Linked DNA regions of Drosophila melanogaster. The protein of the gene in region 2 interacts with the protein of the main gene of each other region in a pairwise test. Each region holds a gene or a part of one and is shown on either strand. Other genes may lie near its edges.

What was found.
Region 1: the proteins of CG10147 (region 2) and CycK interact in a two-hybrid assay, tested with the Drosophila melanogaster proteins (one large-scale study listed by BioGRID).
Region 3: the proteins of CG10147 (region 2) and fest interact in a two-hybrid assay, tested with the Drosophila melanogaster proteins (one large-scale study listed by BioGRID).
Region 4: the proteins of CG10147 (region 2) and Prm interact in a two-hybrid assay, tested with the Drosophila melanogaster proteins (one large-scale study listed by BioGRID).

What each region holds. Positions count from the first base shown.
Region 1 is NT_033779.5:22,124,116-22,131,866, forward strand, and holds CycK (cyclin K), read right to left. Parts: upstream 6,028-7,751; 5' UTR 5,609-6,027; coding exon 4,406-5,608; 3' UTR 825-4,405; coding exon of another isoform or gene 667-824; 3' UTR 170-666; downstream 1-169. Other genes in the region: CG3651 (uncharacterized protein), read left to right, coding at 1-101, 667-824.
Region 2 is NT_037436.4:6,485,646-6,490,193, reverse strand, and holds CG10147 (uncharacterized protein), read left to right. Parts: upstream 1-1,769; 5' UTR 1,770-1,852; coding exon 1,853-2,338; intron 2,339-2,398; coding exon 2,399-3,259; 3' UTR 3,260-4,027; downstream 4,028-4,548. Other genes in the region: bulli, read right to left, coding at 18-276, 332-724, 781-1,264, 1,326-1,433.
Region 3 is NT_033778.4:19,340,018-19,346,277, reverse strand, and holds fest (wurstfest), read right to left. Parts: upstream 4,470-6,260; 5' UTR 4,195-4,469; coding exon 3,907-4,194; intron 3,711-3,906; coding exon 3,327-3,710; intron 3,266-3,326; coding exon 3,087-3,265; intron 3,025-3,086; coding exon 2,848-3,024; intron 2,714-2,847; coding exon 2,567-2,713; intron 2,497-2,566; coding exon 2,233-2,496; intron 2,055-2,232; coding exon 1,952-2,054; 3' UTR 524-1,951; downstream 1-523. Other genes in the region: Rgk1 (Rad, Gem/Kir family member 1), read left to right, coding at 181-225.
Region 4 is NT_037436.4:8,742,294-8,746,976, forward strand, and holds the start of Prm (paramyosin), read right to left. Parts: upstream 3,018-4,683; 5' UTR 2,793-3,017; coding exon 2,670-2,792; intron 2,039-2,669; coding exon 1,982-2,038; intron 131-1,981; coding exon 44-130; intron 1-43. UniProt on the Drosophila melanogaster protein: Paramyosin is a major structural component of many thick filaments isolated from invertebrate muscles.

The DNA.
Region 1 (7,751 bases), on a different chromosome or scaffold from region 2:
GCCTATAAATGTAAGGGACATACTTAATGCCTGGGCACGTTGTCGAGATCTTTCCCTCCTTCAGCAACTAGATGACCGCTTTCATTGCGCAAACGTGATGGGTAAGATGTTCTATAGAGTTGTTTTTTCATAGTTTGTATATAAAAGTTTTACTCGGTATTGATATATTACATATTTACATATTCAGTAAGAAAAATGTTTTCTAATCATAAAATAGAACGCTATAGTCGGCTTCGCCGATTTTAAGATACCCGTTACTCAGCTAGTAGAAATGCGATCGCGAAATTTCATAATTTTTCTGGAATATCGATAGATATACAAATATATATATATGGATTAGTAAGTATTGTTACCCCTGACACAGAGACACTAAACAAGTTCTTTTCTTTAATTGTAAACTAATGAAATTTTGCCAATATACGCAAGAGGGAAGCAATTTGACCTTAATTAGGCTAGTCCGTGAGACTACATAATTGCTACCCTAAGAACTTTAGGGAAGTCAATTAATGACGAGAGAATCTTATAGTCGATTTATTCAAATTTCAGATTTCCGTTACTTAGCCAGTGGGCGTAACAATTTTTGTAAGGTTAACGCAGAATACAAGTCATTTCAAATTGTATTAAATTGTTATTTTTTTTTACAAAATAACATTCTATTTTTTTCAGGAAAGGTTGGTCACATCGTGCGTCAGGCAACAGTAGCAGCATCCACACAAGCACAGGCATCGTCGTCAACCTCCTTTTGTAAACGCACCCTGCCCGAATATTTAATGATCCCGCAGTATTACATGAGTGGGGTACTGACTCTAACCCGCAAATGTTAGGACGTATTTGCACAACCACTCATTTATTTTCACATTAAGCCGGATACACATCATCTCTCTAGAAGTGCTTAGCCCAGTTTTATTGTTTAATTTTTTTTAATAAGTCATCTTCCATATTAAATCAGGTGATCGCATGGCCGTGACCCACCGCTTAAGTCGGGTTCAAAAGTCTCTCCGCTCTAAAAAAAAAAGAAAATAAAGAAACTCAAAGTTTAGTTGGTGTTTAAAGCTCAAAAATGTTTTCTATGTAGGCCATAATATACAGGTATCAATACAAATATATGTATCTGCCTCGCCTATCAACGCCTTATATTGTAATGTGCATATTTGTTTACGGAATACGTAATACATATGTATGTATGTACATATGTACATATACATATGTAATTATACCCGTTACTTGTAGAGTAGAAAGGTATACTAGAGTCGTTGAAACATATGTAACAGGTACATAGTTTTCCGGTCATATAAGGGAAATATATAGCATTCTCTCTTGTTTTGTTATTCGAATTTTGCATTAGATTGTTTTGCTAGCGAGTGAGCGCCATGCGTTAGAAATAATTGTGACACAGAAGCCTATTTAAAACAAACATGGCCAGCAAGGGTAACATAAGGTCACAGTTTTTTAATTGTTTGACAGCAAGAATTTTTAACGACTGCAATCCAAGTGCTTAAACTTTTCTCATAAGGCTGGCTGTGTTCTGCACGTCGTTCAAGGGCCGTGACGCAACATAATTGCTACTGCAGATTTTTGGATAATATAAATAAAAATAATATAATAAAAAACATTTTCTAACTCAACTCATCTCAGTTGATCATCATCTTCCTGAATTCTTCTTTCGTCTTCGTTGTTACCCGCCTTTCGTTTTTAATCTTACTTTAGCGTTATATATATATACATGTCTGAAAACAAAACAGTATGAGATACACACCACACATATATTGGAAAAAATATTTCTCGGATTGGTGGGCCAGCTCAAAGACAGGAAAAAGGCTCTACATTCGAATTAAGACAATCAGAATTTTATTATACTCTATGCTTTTTATAAGAAAGGGATCTTGCAAGCGGTTTATAACTACATTGAATTAGCTGATAAGTTTCTACTAAGAGTTCCCTGCGTATAGAACGACATATTTCTTGCTGGTCCAAATTTTTGTGTTGCTTTAAAACTCACAAGTTAGTTTCTAGCACGTATGAATGTCACTGTTACTTTACAACGAATCTAGTATACTCTCTCTATACGAGTCACGCGTATAGTTAGTAAGCCGGCTACTAAAAAACAAATCAAGAATTTCTGCTGTTTTAAATTTAAAATTCAATCTTCTTTAATTACTTATTTAACACTTCAACGGCCAGGAGAATGTTATTTTTCAGGTAAAAGTGTTAGTCCAACACGGACTATCGTTTTTCAGGTCGTGAACGACTTACTGGCATAAACATGTTCTGTCCAGTTGGCTATATAGCATTACCACTTACCCAAAATTTGTTGTCTTACACAATTCTGTTGGCATAAGCATATTATGTGAATCTTAACTCTTACTCTTAAGTACTGTTAGATTTACTCAATAAAATTAGTTGGAGTATTGACAAGTACGATCTTAATTTATTCCCTTCGACAGAGGTGGTCCTATATCATAACGACTTGAAGACTTGAACTGTACAGAACTGTATGCCAGGCATACTAGTAGAGCACAAACAAATGCAAACTTTTAATCCAGTCAGAACTGGCTTTTGTCTTTCACAAGGTCGACAAACGTGTAGATCCCTTGACAAAAACTCAGCTTCATTGGAAGTACCATAGCATTCTGGCGAAAAACATCAACGGAAGACCTTTCCTGCAACATATATGGCAATAAGTGGGTAGTGATCAGAACACAATGTAAATTTTAGTCTAATAGATTATGCCCTAGCTTTAAACCTTAATATATAATATAAAACTTTCCTTTTCCTATTGCACTATTTATTTAGATGTGTTATTTAGCCCTTGATAAAACGGCAATAAGTAATACTCTAAAGCTTATTCATATTCTTCATATTGATATTTATATAATATTTTATTATTTCTGAGAAATTATTTCTGCATTGAAAAATTTATGTATAACCGCAAAAATATTTTGTTAATTTTTTCGTGTTTTACCACTATATTTGCAATTGTTATAAAAATGAAGTATCCGAATACCTGGTCTAAATATAGCCAACTTACGGTAAAGCAACACTAGAATAATACCAAACTAAAATTATTTTGTTTAGTTAATTTATAAATTACTAAAATTATCATAGTGTCTTTGGTGAAATAGAGGTCCTTGGACCTAGAGCGCGGGAGAACTAAAAGTCAGCTAGATCTTTTAGCGAAAAGATCGAGACGTTTGTAACGAAGCAAGTCAACGAACTGAGACAAAGTAGTTGATGTTTCGAAAGCAGAGCGCGGTAAGTATCACATCAAAGAGCCTGGTTTCAGAGAAATCGACTTTATAAAATTTGAAAGATAAAAGGAAATTAATTATTTTTAACACCATTTAAAAATTAAATTAAATTGAAGAACATCGAACAAAGTCAATAATATTATTTTCGAACATTTTCGTCTTTAGCCTGGAAAACGAAACCGTTGGCCTACGACATAATTATATTTATAATAAACATACGAATCGAGGTAGCCTGGGCAGTCGTTATTATTCCAAGTGTACCATGGGCAAGAATAAAGTCCATGGAAACTGCAAAACTGCACTGTTGTTTCTGATAGCCGAGCAATCTTCGCACACTATGTATCATTCCAAAAATTATTCAAACATCTAAAGAGTTATTATACCCATTAATCGTAGAGTAAAAGGTGCAAGATTCGTTGTAAGTATGTATGTAACAGGCAGAAGGAAGCGTTTCCGACCATATAAAGTATATATATTCTTGATCAGGATCAATAGTCGAGTCGATCTGGCCATATCTGACTTTCCGACTGTCCGTCTGTCCGTATGAACGTCGAGATCTCATGAACTATAAAAGCTAGATGGTTGAGATTAAGCATACAGTTTGCGGAGACACATAGCGCCACACTATTTAAAAATTTTTAGATTTTTCTTCGTTTTATTGTTTGACTTGCCAATTTTTATCTGCATACCAAAAACACTGGCCACGCCCCTCCTTTTACATACAAAACCCCCAAAACTGCCACGCCCACACTTTTGAAAAATTGTTCTCACATATTTCTCATGTTTATCTTCCACTGTTATAAACTTCGCCGTTACTCCAATTCCGCTTTGTCTCAACGTTTCGCCAATTTTAATAAGAATCTATTTTTGTTAGTGCCCCAATGTCCAAAATATTTTTTTCTAGTTCATTTGGTTTTATTCAGTTTTGGAAACATCATTTCAGCAAAATTCTGCTAACAAGTACATGTGAAAGGGTAAGGACTTAAAATAAGGGAATAAAAATCATTGATAAATACCCCGGGACAATATTGGGCCTAGAGTGTAACCAAAAAAGAAAACCGAACCGTACGAAGATCCCCGCTCTAAATCCTATTCCGAACGGTTCGCTAGTTTTAATATACAAATTTTTTTTACTTGTTTATTAGTCATTGCATCTACTAGTAGCGCTGCTGCGATGGACGCCCACCGGCGTTGTAGTATCCACTGGCTCCTGGAGGCAAGCTAGGCGGCATTGGTGGTGGTGGTGCAGCGCTCCCGCTATAGTGTCCGACCACTGTCTGCTGGACTCCCCATCCGGAAGAGGGGTACGGCGGCATAGGCACTACCGGCGGGGGCGGCGGTGGAGGAGCATGATAAATGTGGTACCCGGATGGCTGACCTGGTGGTGTTGGGCCCTGTAACAGGTTCTGGGAGTCGCTAGGACCAATGATTGGCACGCCACTGGCTAGGGATTTAATGCTCTGAATGTTGCTAACTTCCAGCACGCCACCGTTGCCACATACGGGGGGCGGCGGCTGTTGTGGAACGGAAAGTGGTCCAATACCCGTAGAATTGGTAAGCTTGCCGGATTTTGGACTGTCGGCTCTGCTTGGTGGCTTTTGGGGCGGACTGGTTGGCTGGAGCGCTTCTTTTTGGGTTGATTGGTACAGGTCCAGAACTTGGTGGCAGATGTCTTCGAGTATTTCCATCGTTACATCAGACACAAACATATCCCACCAACGCTGCTGCTGTGGCTGGCGGCCCTCCCAGTCTTGCACAGTGAATTTGCTTAGCTTGCTGGCCAAATGGATAAGAGCCACGGCGATAATCTCCGGCTCCCACTGTAGACAAACTACTGTGCTGAGAGAGTCGTTGACGAAGTTCCACGCCATTTGCACCATCTTTTGCAGCTTCTGCTGGTCGCCTTTGAAACACTTAGCGTACTTTAGGAGAAAGGTGTAAGGATGCTCTACTTGCAAATCGAATTTGATGGTCTGCAGCAGAATACGCTCTAGCGTCATCACCTCCTCCTTAGGGTCGTCGCCAAACGAGTAGAAGTAATTGTCGGTAAGGATGCCACGCGCAGTTTTAATAATGTCGCGACACTTCTTTGGCGTCTCCTCCACCTTGCCAGCAAAGAACAGGCAGCAGCACGCAGTCACGTACCGGGGGAAACTCCGGAACGAATGAAACATGTAAAATCGGTGAAAATATACAACGCCGGTGGCCATCGTGTTGTGGCCCAAGCCCATTTTGGTGCCACATTCCATAATAAATCGAGCACCTTCTTTTCTGTACCGCCGCTCCGTTTCGAAGCTTATTCCATCCAAGATCGAGGGCGTCTCCCGCAGCTCCTTTTTGTCGTAATACCAGCACGGCATCGCGGCAATTTAGGCTGCGGGTACTACCAGTAGTCCGCGTCGTTGGAAGGAATTTGTGTTAAACCTTTAGCCAAATGGTTGTCAGCATATGCGCGTCCTGGAGCCGATAAGCGCTTTTGTTTATTGTAAATAAATCAGTTTTCGATTTTTATGTTCACTTGCAGTGTTACCATGTCTACGACGATGAAGAAAAAAACTTTATTGGAAGCCCCTTTTACACCAAGACCACGACGATTTTGAGTATATGGAACAACTTTATTGGTAAATAGATAACGCAAAAATTTTCGATCTCTTGCGGGTCAAACTGAATATTTTTTGTGCGTTTGCTAGTTTTGGTGACTTAATTTTGGGATATAATTAAACAGATATATTTACACGTGGTTTTGGCCGTCCTTTGACTGTTACGAGGAACAAATGGGATGTTTACACTGGAATCGCATTTCCATGTTTTGGAGATATCAAACCAAGCATAGGGATTAGTGATGGGAATTGCGCAATTTGTTTTGTTGTTAAATGGTATATTGAAATAATTCATTATGTATAATCCTACTGGATAACAAGTATTTCAATTTAAAGCATAGATAGCATTCGTTAAACATTATAAAATGTAATAACAAGATTATGAGCAGTGTAAGCGCTTTCTATTTAATAGTAATTACTTCTAGTAATGTGGTGATGAATTTATTATAACCGTTAGTCGTATTTTCGTATTCCGACCATTTAAGGTATATATATTCTTGATCAGGACCAATATCCTAGTCGATCTGACTATAATTTAATTAGTCTTTTTAATTTCTATCGATTTGTCAATAAAATTTTTGCCACGCGCACTCTAACGCCCTAATGCCACACTTTGGAACAATTTTGAAATTTTTTATCATTTTATATCCCATTATCTATCGATATTCCATAAAATTGATGCAATTTCGCGTTTGTATTCACACTAGCTGGTAACGGTTATTTGATAGCCTTGGAACTCGACTATAGTATTCTTTCTTTTATTATTAATATAAACGCGAGTGATGGCACTATAATTTTATTATGTTTCTATATTTTTTATGTTTCTATAATGTGTGTTAAATTCTTAAAAATCGATATATATCACTCAAATTACATAATAATGGAAAACCGAAACGTGAGCTTGATAGAGCGAAACAACCAAATCAGTCGAGATGCTTCTTTTTAACGTAGAAAATGTTATGTATATTTTTCTTTGAATCATGCACTTAGGCTAGTGAACATATTTTCAAACCTTACCGCTCAAGTGATCATTGACTTAAATAAAATTTTACAAAACTCAAAGAACATCCAGCAGCACGCAGACACGTATCAGGGGAAACTCAAGAATGAATGAAACACGTAAAATCGGTGAAAATATACAACGCCGGTGGGGATCGTATTGTTTTAATAATATTATATTTTTTAATGAAGTACAGATAATATGGAATTGACTTTGATTGAATTTAAAAATGTATATTAAAATTTATCAGTGATAACAAACATTTTATATTTCTTTCACCAAGTGATTCAGTATATGTATACAATTCTAGTATTTTAACTTCTATTTAACGAGCACTTAGGGAATGTGAATTTCCGTCATTCGACTGCGCCAATTGCATGCTAAGTATTTGGTTGCGGTTAACAACCAAGGCCGGAGTACCCCCAACGTTGAAAACTATCTACGTCTCACAAGACAAGCAATTACGATCTCGAACTTCAAAAAGGTAAACAAACCCAAATGTTGTGCAAATTCTAACGTTTGATCACCCCTGATCGCAGATTCCGTCTATGCGGATTGTGTTGTTATCCTGGGAAAGCTACAAATACCGCGTATAAATTTGCTATATTCGTAATTGGGTTCGAAGCTAAGCGATGCCCAGCCTACCAGTTCGGCGTACACGGAAGGATTCCCAATTGGAGAACGATGACGATCTTGGTCGTATTGCCCAAATTTATCCCACCTATGCTACACTCAGGTAGATATTTTTGGATCAGCCGCAAATTTCCTGGCTTGGCTATGTCAAATGACTTAATCGACATTTGATTTCACGGTTTTATTTATACGGACATACATACATGTATTTCATATTTTAAAATATACATATTTGCCTTATTTAAAAAATAATAATTAATGCTTACTGAC
Region 2 (4,548 bases):
TAACGTCTTTAACTTACGCATAGATCTTGTTAATCCGACTGAAGATGGTCTCTAGGACTGGCAATAGAGTTCCCTTATACTGATCATCTACCAATTGTCCAATGACTTTTAATAGCATCTGCTTGCCATTGCTGCGTTGCAGCAGGAATTCTGTAAGTCGAATGCGATCCGAAATCAGTTGGCACAATGGTTCAATGCAGAGGTTCAAAAACCACATGCAACCCAACTTGGCATCGATTACAATATTTGGCTGGAACAGTACCCAGTGCGTGGAATCTGCATGGGTATAAGTGTCAAATAAAGTAACTTTTTGGATATTTAAAGAACTTACACAACTCGCACTGCAAGATTTGTCCATCAGGCGAAAGTGAGGGCAGTTTCAGGCCAAACGGTTTGATGGAGCGCCCTGGAGTTATGGGTGTATGATAGGTTATTTCATTGATCACCTCTCCGGGCAGGGAGATGTCGAATAGCAGCGAAGTGCCCGAAGCTTGATGGTGCACCACAATCAGATTATCCACCGTGTTGATGGCGAAGCGACCAAGCAGACTTAAGCGGAGCACATGGCACTTGCGTGGAGCCAAGCCCGGTCCATTGAGCAAGTGCACCTCGACTTCCATCAGTCCGGTGGTGCTATTTGACTGGAGGATAAGCACAGCCAGCACGCCGTAAACTTGGCCTAAGGTGACCTTGCTCTCCTGGACATCGCGACTTGGATTGCCCACTGAAAGGAAAGATTAAAACGCTTTTAAAGGATTTTAACCCAAAAGGATTACTTACAGTCCACTTTGGGCAGCTTGGTGATTACTTTCTGCTTGACCAGCACCGGAATCAGGGAGTTTCCTTCGCTGGTGCACAGTAGAGCCACATTGGCATCGCAGCACCAGGCGAACCACTTGATGCCAATGCTCAGGGATTTCACAGAGCGCACCTGTCGCTTCTCAGGAACTACGGTGTAGACCTCCACGCCGGTATTCGAAATCAGGGCCACCTCTCGATTGTGGACCCAAACAAAGCCATGGATCAGAGTCTTCACCTGGTGGGTAATGATGTCCTGCAGCAGAGGCTGATCTCCCTGAAAACATATGAACTCCACGGAATTCTCCTTTCGCTGAACGGCCAAGATTTGGTTGTCCGGCGAGAACTTAATGGACCTTATGGCACCGCCACGGTCGCTCATGCAAAAGGAGATGACGACATCGTCGGGAGATCCAGGACCTTTGACCACCACACCAGTAGCTCCTCCAGACCGAACAGCAAATATCTTTACAGATATAGATTTTTAGCCATCATCAACATGGATTTTTAACATGTTTTAACTATACCTGCTTGTTGGAGTCATCGAAAAACACATTGGTTAGTTGGCTGACAGCATCAAATCGTATGGGATTTGGGGTTAGCTCAATGTAGTGGATTCCATTGGAATTATCCATTGTTGTGCTGGAAAAAAATAAATAACAAACTGCAACAGCACAACTTTTTATACACCCCCCATTAGAGATGTGACTTTAGCACAGGGTGCTAGAGATGTGCCACGAGTAACAAGCTGTTTTAAGTCACGATTAATTTCATTTATTGTACGTGCAAGGATTAAAAATATAAATGTATTTAACATTATTTGTGGTATGCTTACAGTAGATATTTTTAAACATTTATACTATATTTATTTAACCCCTTCCAACTCACGCTATTATTTGCCATCACTATTGCTATCAGCGGTATTTTTGCCAGCCCTATCAGCTGTTTAGTATACAAACAACAGCGATAAGAAAAAACGGCAGACAGGACACAGAAAAATATTTTTTCTTGTGAATTTAAAAAAAGGTCTCAATAACTTTGATTCAACCACTTAATGGGACACCTGGACAAATGCCGCGTATGCTCCAGCGATGTGGCTAGAGACGACGAGGCCTACAATTTGCTGCACCATCCATATCTCGCCGTCAAATTTTCGGAGTGCACAAATTTGGTGGTGGATCCTGATGACCAGGATATTTTGCCCAGCGAAATTTGCTCGGAGTGCTACGAGCTTCTGGAGAAGTTCCACTCCTTCCGAGCACTTTGCATTATAGCCGACAATAAGTGGCGTTCTAAAAGTCTGGTAACTTGGAAGAAAATAGATCGCAGGAAACCTGTTTACGAGGTCGATGAAGATGAGGAAGAGGAGCTGGAGCTGGAAGAACTTCTATTGGAGCCGCCGGAGATGATTATATGTGATACCAATTTGAGTGCACAAAATACCCCAATAGTCGCTGAACAGGCACCGCCAACCTTGGTATTCCATACCTTCACCGAAAATGTCCAGCAACCCCCGGAAACGGAAAAGAAAGCTTTGGAAGTGAGTTTGGGTTTAAGGTTTAAACAGGAGTGTAAGTTAAGTTGTATTCAATGATTTCAGGAGCCGCCATTGACCACATACAAGTGCGACTTGTGCGCCGACGAGTTTCGAGAGGAGAAACGCTTGATTCTGCACAAGAAGGAACACCAGGGACACATGCTGTATCATTGCACTGAGCCCGGATGCGAGGAAGCTTTCAACCGATTCGAGAACCTCAGGCAGCACGAGCTAGAGCACTCGGAAGTGGGCATGCGGTTTGTCTGCGAGGAGGAGGGCTGCAACAGGATGTACCGGCACAAGGCCTCGCTGAAATACCACCAAAGCAAGGCTCACGACATTGGCAAGCCTTTGAAGACCCATATGTGCGAGTTCTGTGGTCGGGTGTTCAAGACTGGCTCTGCCCTAAGCCAGCATCGGTTCACACACGGTGACCAGCTGGTATTGCCATATGCCTGCGAACTGCCGGAATGTTCTATGCGATTCTATAGCACGGAGAAACTCAAGATCCACATGATGCGTCACCAGGGCATAAAGAACTTTAGTTGCCCCTACTGTGGTCTCAAGAAGACGACCAAAAACGAACTGCGACTGCATATCAACTATCATACTCTGGAAAGGACCTGGTCCTGCAAGGATTGCCCCAAAGTTTGCAACAGCTCAACGAGTCTTAAGAAACATATCCGCGCAATCCACGAGAAGGCACGAGATTATGCCTGCAGCTATTGCGAAAAGAAATTTGCCACCACCGACACGCGAAAATATCACGAAATGACCCACACTGGCGAAAAGAACTTTGAGTGTCACGTTTGCGGCAAGAAATTTATACAACCCTCTGCCTTGCGCACCCATCGCAAGGTCCACGAATCGGGGGATAATCAGCAGACCGCTTGTGCTCTGCTGCAACTGACTAGCATGGGTTAAAGAAGTTAACATATTTCTATTTTAGGTTCAGTGGAAAGTACAACATTCATATCGTATTTTACTTGACTCACAACTTAATTAATATTTACATACCTCCTTTATTGAGGGATTTATTACGATAACGAATTAGAAGAGCAGGGAAGAGGCAATTTTTAATAAACTAGTCTTAGTTTCTAATGGCACAAATACATGCCATTTTACCCTTAATAACGTTAACAAATCAGGAAGTTTAGGGTAAATGGCATTAATTAATAAGCTGTAGTTTTTCTATCTTATCAAGAAACTAATTAATATGACAACAACCCGCAATAACGACAATAAATCTTATGGTGTAGGGTATAAGTTAATGACAATAAATCAGAAGGTGGAAGGTACAAGTATATGACGATAACCCCAAATAATGTTAACAAAACAAGAAGAGATTATGAATGGAGACAATAACCCTTAATAACACTAATCAGGAAGTGTAGGGTAAAGTGAATTATTTTAAAGAAACTGCACTTTTAGTTTCTTACCATTTATGTATGTCAATTTACCCTTAACAACGAAAATATCAGGAAGATTAGGGTAAAAGACGTTTAGTATTATAGTCACATTTGCAACTTACACTTTAAGTAAACGACAATAACTTCGAATACTGACAATAAATCAGGAAGTATAAGGATACGGGGAGTTTTGCAATAAACTTTGGTTTAAGTTATTCACGTTTGAGAATATGCCAAGTTATCCAAATCAGGAAGTAAAGGGTAAAGTGCATATTCTTTTATGAAGTGTAGTTATAGTTTTTTGTTTCGTTCTGTTTGTTTCTTAAACTTTAAGTTTGTTGAATTTATAAAATTGTTTTCTTATTACCTATTTTTTATGAACTAAAACCTTTTACTCGGTTAAAAATGAAATTATATACTTTAAGAGTACTATTGTACTTACTGTATCGACAAATAAATACTCCAATAAAGAACCATTTCCTTTTGGGATTCAGAATGTAAATATCAATAATTGTTTAATTATATTTTCAACTAAAACAATAATGTACAGGAATTGTGTGTGTGTGTGTGTGTGTTACTAAATAAATCGGCAGAGGATTCGCTTCCTGCCGCGGACCACTAAAAACTAAAGTACATCTGCTAAAGGTCGTGAGTCTGTTTATTGTATATGGTATAGTATATAGATAGCTTTGCATACATATGTATAATGGTGTGGTAAATGATATGACGTGCCACGATCATTTCCCCCGGTAAATATGGTGAAATCTGTTGCATTAAAATCGTTGTAAATATGATTCTTCAGTT
Region 3 (6,260 bases), on a different chromosome or scaffold from region 2:
ACCCGCCATTTCTCTCTGTGTACCCGCTAACCATGGAACCACTTTCTTCCTATGACAGAGTCAGCCGTGGCATATAGTTCCGCCCCAGCATTATCCACTAATCTCTATCAACAGCCACTGCCAACGGGCCGCTCCTCCGGCTCCAACTCCAGGTTAAGTCTGTTGGAGAGCTTGGTCTGCATGACTGCCGATCCCATATCGTTGTGCTTTTGGATTTGTTTGCAGGTAAACATGAAGACCTCTCATCTTTTATAATATTTGTATATGAAAACCTTTTTTGGCAAACATTCAATTACTTTTAAACGTGCAATTCATTCCTTTAAATATTTACATAGCTCGCAAACTCTTTAAGCCCGAAAAGATTTCAAGTCCTGATGGCCCTTCAGGTGCCACAACTCCTCCAACAGGGTTGTAATGTGAATTGTAGTCGTTAAGCAATTTTCTTGTACTTTTACAATGCCAGAGGAAAGGTATGAGGTCATATATGGTTGCCAGGAGCCGCTGAAAATTGTATCTCGATCCAGATTTAACCCATGAGAATTAACAAAATTATACGAATCTATTACAGTAGCGCAGATAGAATTTACTTTATTCAGGACTTTCATGTATTACTTTTTGACATCGATTTTTGTGCACATAAATTTCGATATACATGAGGATTAAATTTAGAGTTTTGAAGATTGTTGTTGTAAGGCTACACAGGTATAATTGCAAGGCGTTTCACTTTTTTTTTTTTAAGGAATGGTGTTTAAAAGTGTGCACGTGTTTTAACTTTGTTTTCAAAGACGACTGCCTTTTTCAGATAAGCGTTTGTTTCGTAAGCTAATTAATTGTATTCCATTTCAGTCACAATTTCTCACTTTGGCCTGTCGTGTGTGTGTGTGTGTGTGTGTGCTTGTGCATGTGTGCGTGTATCTGTATTCCACGAGTGTGGTAGTGGTACTATTCCGTCTACACTTGGAAATTTAAGCACTAAGTCCACTCATTTTACATTTTACGCAACGTTTGCGCTGTAGAGTGTGTGTGTGTTGTGTGAGGATGAACATGGTTGGATTGTAGTAACTTAACTAATCTTAACTGGTAACTTAGAACTAACTGAATTGTCACTGGTGTTACGTTGGCCAAAGCAGCCGTCGTTTGTTAGCTAATTTTTTATCATGCAGAGGCTAATTTTGATATCAGCGATTTTATCAATTTTTGCTTATTTTTTTTTTTTTGTGGAAATTTTGCAACTTTCGATTTTCAATCTTGCTGAATTTGTTGCATTTCAAGTACGTGTCGAACGTTTAAAAAATCGTTGGAAACTTAATTTTGCTATACTGTGAGGGCCGAAAAGAAGCGAAACGCGAACCAAGTTCATTCTTTTTATAACACCAAACGCTGGCCCTGATCGAAATAGCATTGTCTTGGCCAGCGTTTCAGGCAACAGGTGGATTTTCCAGAGCCTATTCCACCTGAATTGCCTGTACTAAATAACGGTATGCGTATAAAAACAAGGATATCGAGGGCTAGAGAGATTGTAAGTGTGATTATCTAAAACTAATTCCCTAGTGTTTGCGTTGCGCCTACGTCGAGCAATCGAAAAGCAATCCTTCAAGGATCAGGATCGCCAGTTTTCGTTGCTCGCGCATTTTTTCGAGCTGTTTCATCTTAAATGCAGTTATACATTTATAATTTTTTTTGTTTAGAAGACCAGGTTTTCTTAAATGATCTGATCCCTCTCCACGCCGAGGCCCCAGTTTTCCAATGTTGTTTTGTTTGGATTTTTTGATTTTTTTTTTTGGGGGGGTCACTATATCGACGCTTGAGTCGGTTTGCGTGTGTGTGTTTTCTGTGATGTGTGTGTGGTGGTGGTATAATGGGGTGATTTTCGATTGCCCACGCTGGGTGGCTATAGGTGGCATTTGGATGGCCACCCAACGCGATGCACATCCCATGGTGCGAGCGGTACTTAGTAGACAATGAGCAGGTTGTTTTCATTGAATCCAGCCGAGTGACCAGCATTGCGTACAATGAAACAGGATCCGTCGAAGTGCATGCGCTTCTCATTACGACTGCAAAAAAAAAAAGAACAAAAGGAATCTTCAAATATCCGATTAACTGAATTACTGCAAAAGTATGGAATCAATTAAACACTATCAGTGTTATAATCGAATAAATATACGACGAGAACAATGCATTCTTCGAGTGCATCATTATTGCAAATAGGTGTGGATGCAGTGGCCAACTCACCGGACGAACAGGTGCGAGGTCTTGCCCAACGAAGCCGTGCAGTGGATGCCGGTGGTGGTCAGGGTGGCGGATCCATTGCCCGGACTGGTGCGAATCAGGCACTTGCTGTGCTGGCGGCTGACCTTGACCAGGCCGTCGGCCGCCTGGGTGATGCGGAATCCATTGATGTCATACACCTCGGTGCCGTCCTCGGCGCAATTGTAGGTGGAGTTGGCGATTACGTCGTGGGCATCGGACACAAAGGATGGGCCGTGGCGCGAATCGCTGGAGGGTGTTGTTAATTGGAAAGAGGAGCTTGGCGAATTGATTTGGGCAAATTTCGTGCTTAACTCACTCATAGAACACCGCCAAGGTGTAGTCCTTGGTCAGGTCGGTGAAGGTATCGGTGGTGGTGCGAGTGCCAGCTGTGTCCACCAGATAGATGAGGGCACAGGACTCGCTGGTGAAGCTAACGCCCTTGTACCACATTTTGGCATAGCGACTGGAAGAAAATGATTGCAGCTATAGTTGCATAGATTTTATACGAAAATCTAATGAGAAGTACAAGTTTAAATTCCAAAATACTAGTTGTTTGCCACTCTTAAAGTAAAGGTTCGATTCTACTTCTAAGCTTACACAAAGTTGTTGGCCTTCATTCCGTCGTAGGTGACGATCTCCACCTTGGAGCCGCTCTGCAAGATGCGCCCATTGGGATGGATGAGGGCAGAGTTGCTGCAGTTGCGCGATAAGGCGGCGGCAACCATGCTGCGCTGATTCAGCACACGGACAGCCTTGTCCAGGGTCATGTCAATGCTGGAATCGGGAATGATTTGGAATGATGATCAAGGGATAAATCTCCTACCACGTTCACTTACCGAACGCCCTCGCGCAGGCGCAACTGGATGGTGCCATTGGACATGGCAATCGGTCCAGATCCTGGACACGGTGGTGGTGTGTTGTTCTCGAACTCAAAAGTGCGCGAGCTGACGCGATCCATAGCAAAAGGTGGTGGTGGCATTGGCGATGGGAACTGCTGGGTGTGATGTGCCTGTGGCTAGGTAGATATCGCATATTTCTAAAATACGAAACACGGGGCAATAAATCAAAGCACTTACCATGCAGTAGGCTCCATCCACCTCATAGCCATAGCCAGAGTTGAAGCGTCCCGTTAGACTCTTGCCGCTGCGCGTAATATTGCCGGCATCCATGTTCCAGCCCATGGTCTCGTAGCCGGCACCAGATTGCGGCAGGACTCCGAAGCCCGAGTGGGAAGATGCGTGCATGCCCATATTCATGTAGCTGCGGCCGCAGCTGTTTGTCTGGCTGGAGCACTCCTTGGCCAGGACGGAGGTGCTGGTGCCCACGCTGGCGCTGTTGCCCATGCTGCTGCTGCTGTTGCCGCGCTCCAAGCCGCGCTTCACTCCGCCAGTCAGCGAAAGGCTGCTCATACGTGGAGCCAATGGGCTGTTCATCGATGACACAAAGCGCATGGTGGCTTGCTAGGGATTGGTAAGGGAAAAGGTATCACATGGTACATCAAAGATCACTTGCAAAAAATGGGAAGAAAAGATGACTTGCAAAAAATGCTAAGAAAATATGACTTGCAAAAATGACTTGCAAAAATCAAAGAGACGATTTTTTGCATATGCCTTCAAAATGAAGGCAATCCTATGGAGAAGTGACAACTCTACTCACCGGCGATGGGTTGTTGTTGGTGAATACGGAACGCTGGCGCACACCATTTGGAGCCTTGGTGGGCGAGCGCAAGATGTTATTGATCTTGTCGTTCAACTGGGCGCGGGACAAGAAGTCCTCGGCATTGAAGATGCCAACGCGGCCGCTCTTGGGCGTGGCCAAGGGGGCGGGGCCCGGTAGAGCCAGCTCCTCGACATGGGGCTCATCCAGGGCGCCGGAGTGCTGGCACTGCACCTCCTTGGTGCTGCTGGTCTTAGGTGCAACGGTGTCCTGGGCGTCGGTAACCATTTTGTCAAGATTCGATTGTTCAAAATTTATGGGAAAACCGTATGGAATCGAATGGGTGATGGATGATGGTGTTGTTGTTCTTGGTTGAAACGGGGCCTGGACTTTGGTATGTGGATCTAAACGAGAACGGCACACGCGGCGTGCTGGACAGCGAAAATCAAAGTACTCTGCTCGACACGGAACACAACGACTCAATGAGAGGAATTTAATTTTTTACTTTTTATGACTTTTCAAGAGCACTGCTCGCTGCGACAATTTTCGAAAGAATGACTTGCCTCAAGTGCCGATGGAAGGATGTGCCATCAATTCTGACACTCACTGGCCTACCGGGTTTTTCGATAGTTGAAAGTGTCGTAATATCGAGTACACGATACTTTACTTTTCCCTTCGTCCCTTTGAAGCCCTGGCACTTTTAGATTTCCCGTGAAAGTTCAACGTATATCCGATTAGTGCTGCATACTTTTAGACGGCAAAAAGCTGATTGAATTCAAAATAACGCATTTAAGGACGACACTGTAGTGCAACCCATCTCCTCGCTTTTAGTGGCCGGAAAACGAAGTTTCGCCTTCGTAATTGAATCGAGAAATAGACTTGAACACACGCACAGCAGTGCAGCTTCCAGCAATTTATTGCCGCTCATTTGTATAGTTTCTACGCAGCTATAAGCTGCAGCAAAAGACTTAGGCTTTAAGATTTATTGGGAAACTGCATTTTCCGAACGGGAGAAAGTGCAAGAGAAAGTGCCGTCATTCTTATCGATGCTGGTTAAATGCTGAACAAGTGCGCAGAGTTGCAAAGTTTTGAAGCGTTGGCAGGAAATGTCAAGAGTCAGATAAAAGTGATGTTTGCACGTAGCACAGTTTAGTACTTTGCTAATAAAAAGCTATCCCCTTCTAAATTGTTGCTTTAACGTGGCTTAAATATGTTGTCAAAGTCAAACAATCACGCAATTTAAATGTATTATACATTCAACTGAAACTTTTAAATTGACATATTAAATAAGAACTGGCATTTAAAGTTTCTGCGAAATGTAAACTGCTCTTATAGAACTTTCCAGTCGAACAGCTACAAATTTTTGGATTATTTCTTAATGAATAAACACTAAAATCATAATATATTTTAGTAATAGCTGCTCAATCGTTTTTCTTGTCAGTTATTAGCCATTTTATTTGCCTGAATGTTGACATATTAGCCACAATTTTGGCAAACCCCCAAGGTCGTTTTATTTCCATTTTTGTGGGTTCACTAACTCACCTTCAGTGTGCAAAGTCCCTGAACTTCCGGAACTATTGTGTTTTTTGTATACGACTGTCAACTCTTTCCGCTCTCATGATTGATTTTGCCTCTTGATTTCAGTTTTTTCTTGCGCGGATTAGTTTGTTTAATGAGCGCATTGACTCCTTGCATTTGGCCATCGGCCCACGCAGATTTAGATTGACACTTTCGCCATCATATCTATTTAAATGGACGCGTTTATTTAGACACTTGGCTGGCATATTTTTTAAATTTTATTTTTGGCACTTGGTCGGATCATTAAAATTCAGCCACTGCAGCTGCAATTCCGCCCACGCATCGCATTGACTCAGTTTTGAGCAACACCAACTGAAAGTGAAAATGTGTAATATATTTATAGCAGGAATGCAATCGCATATGCATTCAATGAAATACGGAAACTCATTTGTAAAAATCACCCCGTCCACCGAAGTGATTTTTCCGTTGTCACTTTCGCCAGCCGCAAGTGAAACAAATTGGTTAACCTCCTTTTTCAGTATTTATCGTTAAAAATATTCGCAAATATTCAGACAGCTGAAAATTCAGATTTTCAGCGAGCGTCGTTGGAATAGTTTGCTAAATTTTGAATTCAAGTTGTAATTACGCTCGTTTTGTAAAGGCAAAGGCACATTTGATATGAAAACTAAAAGGAGAACATCAGCCAAATGAATAGAGAAAATTCGCTATTACTTGCCGAAGCTCGTTAAAATGTGGAAAACTATTTTCGCCTTCTGCAGTCAGTGAACTTTGGCGCAGACAAAGATCATAAAATCCATACTAGTGTAGCGGCTATA
Region 4 (4,683 bases), 2.3 Mb from region 2:
GTTATGGCTGGATTGCAATATTGGTTTACCACATGGTACTCACTTGATGTTCAGCACCACCCTCGGCCTCCTCGAGACGCTCGGACATCTGAATGACCTGAACGCTGAGATCGGCTTTCTCGCGCTCGATCTGAAATTTGAAGAATATAAGCAGAGATTAAGAAGAGATTTCATTAGCGACTTGGTATAATGTGAAGGATCTATAAATACCCTGCGCTAGCCATGCTCTGTGGCTACTCAAACAGCCCATAATAAAAATTATAAATCACATTAATCAGTCAAAAATAATTATGCACATGCAACACCTAAAATAACAATGGCATCTTGCCAAGAAATCTTCCACGCAGAGGTGTAGCCATAGTCCGATTGCATCCACGATATATGCGTCTATATATGCGTATATATCTTTTGTGGGCGGCCGCACACCGCTTTCCTAGATTGCATTTCCAAAAAGGCATTCGAACATTTTTCGCTTGAACAGAAACATTTTTTGTTGGCTCCCTCGGAATCTAAACATTTGCTTTTCGCCTTTGTCGACGACCTCGTTTGGTCAATTTTGCGAATTGCAATTAAATGCTATTTTATGAAAGCTATGTGCGGCCATTGGGATTTCTGGTATTTGGAGCTGTCCGAAGCAATCATAAAAAATTCAGCTAACTGAAATGCCCCAAGCTTAAATAAAGAACGTATTGGTCTGATAAATCTCTTTTAAATCTCTCGCTGAATATGTTTGTACATTTATGTTTATGATAATACCTAGGCGAACATGTGTTTGTCCGTTCATTTGGCATAACAAAAAGTTGCCGATTGCCACAAAGGCCACGTAAGTACGGGCCGTAAATCCATTTGCGCCATATGTATCTTGTAGATACATGTTTTTGCCGCCTATATATGCATATGTGGATATGTAGAAAGAATGCCAGGCGGTGTGAAGACTTTTAATGTGCATGAAAATTATTTAATTTTCCCACAGACACACGCCCACAGACAAAAAGCGAAGATTTTCCCGTAGTGAGCGAGCGAATTTTCCTCTCTGCCGCCGCTGATCATGAAGATGGTGATGATGATGACTTTTTGGCTACTTTATTTTCTTTTCTTCTCTGCTCATATTTTGGTTGTTTTCAAGTTAATCATTCGCTTCTCTGTATTGAATGTCGTGCGCTAATTTTAGCCATTTTGTTCCATATATTGTGAGTGTGTGTTGGGGGGCGTTGTATCTGTGTGCGAGTGCGTGCTAATCCATAAGGCACAAAGTAATTAAATTTGATTTTTTAACAAAATTTTCAGAACATTCCTGGCCAGCCCATTCCATTCCGGCAAGAGCTCTTCGCATTTTCTAAATTTGTAACGCCCAAGAGGATTGCGCTGAATGAAGTGCACTTTCGGCCTGCGAATTTTCCCACTTTTCTCTGGCTGTTCCTGACTTTGCTGTCTTTGCGGCCGCTGTCTTTGCAAAGTCAGGGGAAAAATCATTTATCAATGCTCCGCAGGGAAGGAAAAGCCAAAAACGAAAGCGATTGAAGTTCAATGCACATCATTATCATTTACTTTCACACTTTCGAAACTCTACGAAGGGTAGTTTATTCTTAGATTTGCATTTGTTTGCTGACTTTTCTATCGGTTCTATCGCTACTGCTACTTTGGTCTATTTTGATTTTATTTTGGCTTTCCACATATTTTTGCTGTTTTTAGGGTGACATTTGCGAGGTGAAAAAAGTAAAAATGGTTTTCCCTGGCGCTTTGATTTCCATTGGGTCTCGGAGAATGCGGTCTGATCTTTTCTAACTTCCTCGGATATGTCATATCTCTGACGCCGATTTCATCAGCAAATAATCTTATTGACTAAAAACGATGCTCTCAATAAATTAAGAATGTTCAAAAATATTCCAAAGAAACCTATAGTAATACCTTAAAAATACTCGGTTCAAAAATAACTTAAAAATATTTAAAATTATGAATATTTCCATATTGAATGACTCACCCTTTGGCGCAACTCACGTTCAACTTCAAGATCATCTTGGAGCAAACGGATCTTGTCCTGCAAGAAAATGGTGGATACATTTATTGAGTTTGATCTTTTATGGGCTCGTTATTTCATATTATTTGATTAAAACATTCATTAAAAAGCACTTTACAGCACAGTTGATTGATTTCTTCACAAATTTTTCTTCGATGTTTTCTCGTGTATATGTATTGCCCAGAGGTGGCCATTACATAATTTTTTAGCAATGCATATGTATATACAGACACGTTTAGATACATATACAAATCTAGAATTTTGCTTCACCGAATTTTCTATATTTCCACACACAAGAACGCGCCGAGAACTTAACACACGAATATATATCTACGGTATATATGTGCATTTGATATAGAGTGTAGATGAATTTTTCGGGTTTCTTAGTTTGTTTTTCGTATTTTTTCTTGATTATATTCCGATTCTTTTTCAGTCTCTACACAGACACCGAAACAAGAGAGAGAAATTCTCGTAGATTTTGAAGAAAATTTGGCGCACACGCATTTCGTATTCCTATTCCCTGGTCGGAATTCCAACGTCTTTTTGGGGATTTGGTGCCCAATACGATGCCGATTTCTTAAACGATACCGGTCCGCTTCCAATTACGAATTCGAATTCGAGATTCCGAGACGGAGCGGGACGGGATCCTTACCTCCAAGCGGGAGAGCGAGCTCAGGTCCTGGATGTACTCGATGTTCACATCGGCGGTACCGGGTCCGGTGGACGTGGCACGGTAGGAGTATTTCGAGGAGCGGACAGCCTGCGATGACGACATGTTTGCTAGGTCAGATTTTCGATTTTGGTTCTATAAATTAATGTGCGATCGGTTCGCGTATCTAGTATTATGATTTGTGTGTTCCTCTCAAGCGAAAATCTATACAGCACCGCACGCAGTTTTGTAGTTGTCACCGAGTCACCGAGAAAATTCGTAATAAACGTCGGAGTAAGGCTGGTGATCTACTGAACAAGAGATCCCGTTGTCGTTCGAATAAAGAGTATTTCGTTGAATTGGTTTGGCCTGCCAGCTGAATTCGTCTATTTCAACGATTTATTCGGTTCCCTTCGGGAGCCTTCGGTCGCCGTCGGGCGCCATCGGCTCCCCGCCGATCGGATCCGAGTGGGATATACCCTGAGATATATCTATAAGCCACCACCACCACCTATGTGAATGTGAGTGGGACTTTCGAGTGACTTTTCACGCGGCCGTGTTGTTGTGTTAATTGCTCAGTTGTGTGGAAAATTCTTTGATTTTTCATTTCACTTGGGCCGAAGCTTGTGTGAACGCATTTTCACGCTAGTTTGCCTGAGAGCTTGCCCCCTACGAAAATAAACTCAAAAACACGAAGTACGCCTGCTTTTCTTGTCTTTTCTTTTCTATTGCTTACCTGTAATTAGCCTGTGTCATTTGTGCGTTTCATTTTGTGTATCTAGCGTCTGGCCAGAATGTATCTACACATAAATTTTCCCAATTCTCGAACGTACATACATATAAGTCATGTTGAAATATTTGGCATCCTCTGCAGATCATAAAGTTCATAATTTATATTTATTGGCACATTTTCTTGGTTCAGGGGCCTCGGATATTATTTAAAAGGTAGTGCCAAACCAGTATTCCAGCACGTAGTCCCTAGACTATAAAGATTGAGATATAATTCTGGGAGCAAACTTAAATAGAATGATTTGACTTTTGGAAACGGTTTCTAGAACATTAGAACATCTAGAATATTGAATACATTTAAGCGTTAGAGACTATATATGTAAATATTTGAATCGATTGATTTCAAATTGATTTAGCATATATTATTATCAAAAAGAAAAGAGGCTAGAGCATGAAACCCCAGCCAAATATAGAGCCCAAATATATATGCTATACAGATCTCAGGGGTATTACAACATTTTTACACAAGCAGAAAAATCATAAAAGTGTCAAAATTTTCTATGATATGCCTTCTAAATTATTCGCTAACAGCCAATTAGGATTACAGCAATGTTTTCTAAAAATACTTGACTTTTGGCATCGAAACGTGTTATTCGCCAGCATAAATAAATAGACGTAGAGAGTGTGTGAAAAAAAATTGTGCGAAATAAACAAAAATATACAATTTTGAGTGAATCCTTGGCCGTGCGGACAGCAGTCTGCTCAGCCTCAGACAATGCGATGTCATCTAACAATTGTTGTTCAATGGTCACGTAGATGACTGTCTCTGCATTATATCTTTTTGGCAACTGACGGGTCTCTCCATGTGCCCCCATAGTAAATACATATTGTGTAAATAATTTCTGTTACATTGCGAACACGCTTCGTTCGGCGATTTTTGGCTCACTTTTCCAAAGGAACCGAAGCTTTTCGAGTGAAAATTCTCGTTCGTCTTCGAGCGATCTCCTCCACCTGTGCTCCACACACAAACACACATTTGCCTAACTATACTTAAAAATGAATTTTCGCTTATTTTTAGCAACCGAATTTCGTGTTATTTGTGCCTTTTTTCTCGGCTTGCTCATAATCGTGTTCATTTTCCACACACATTTCACCTGAGGCCAACTGACGCACACATCTAGAGCTCTAGATGGGCTAACCATCCTTATATATTAGAGCAGTTTCTTGCTCCGTTCGCATTCGTATCTTTTAGATACTTGGCTCTTTGCTGGCCATAACTTTATTTATT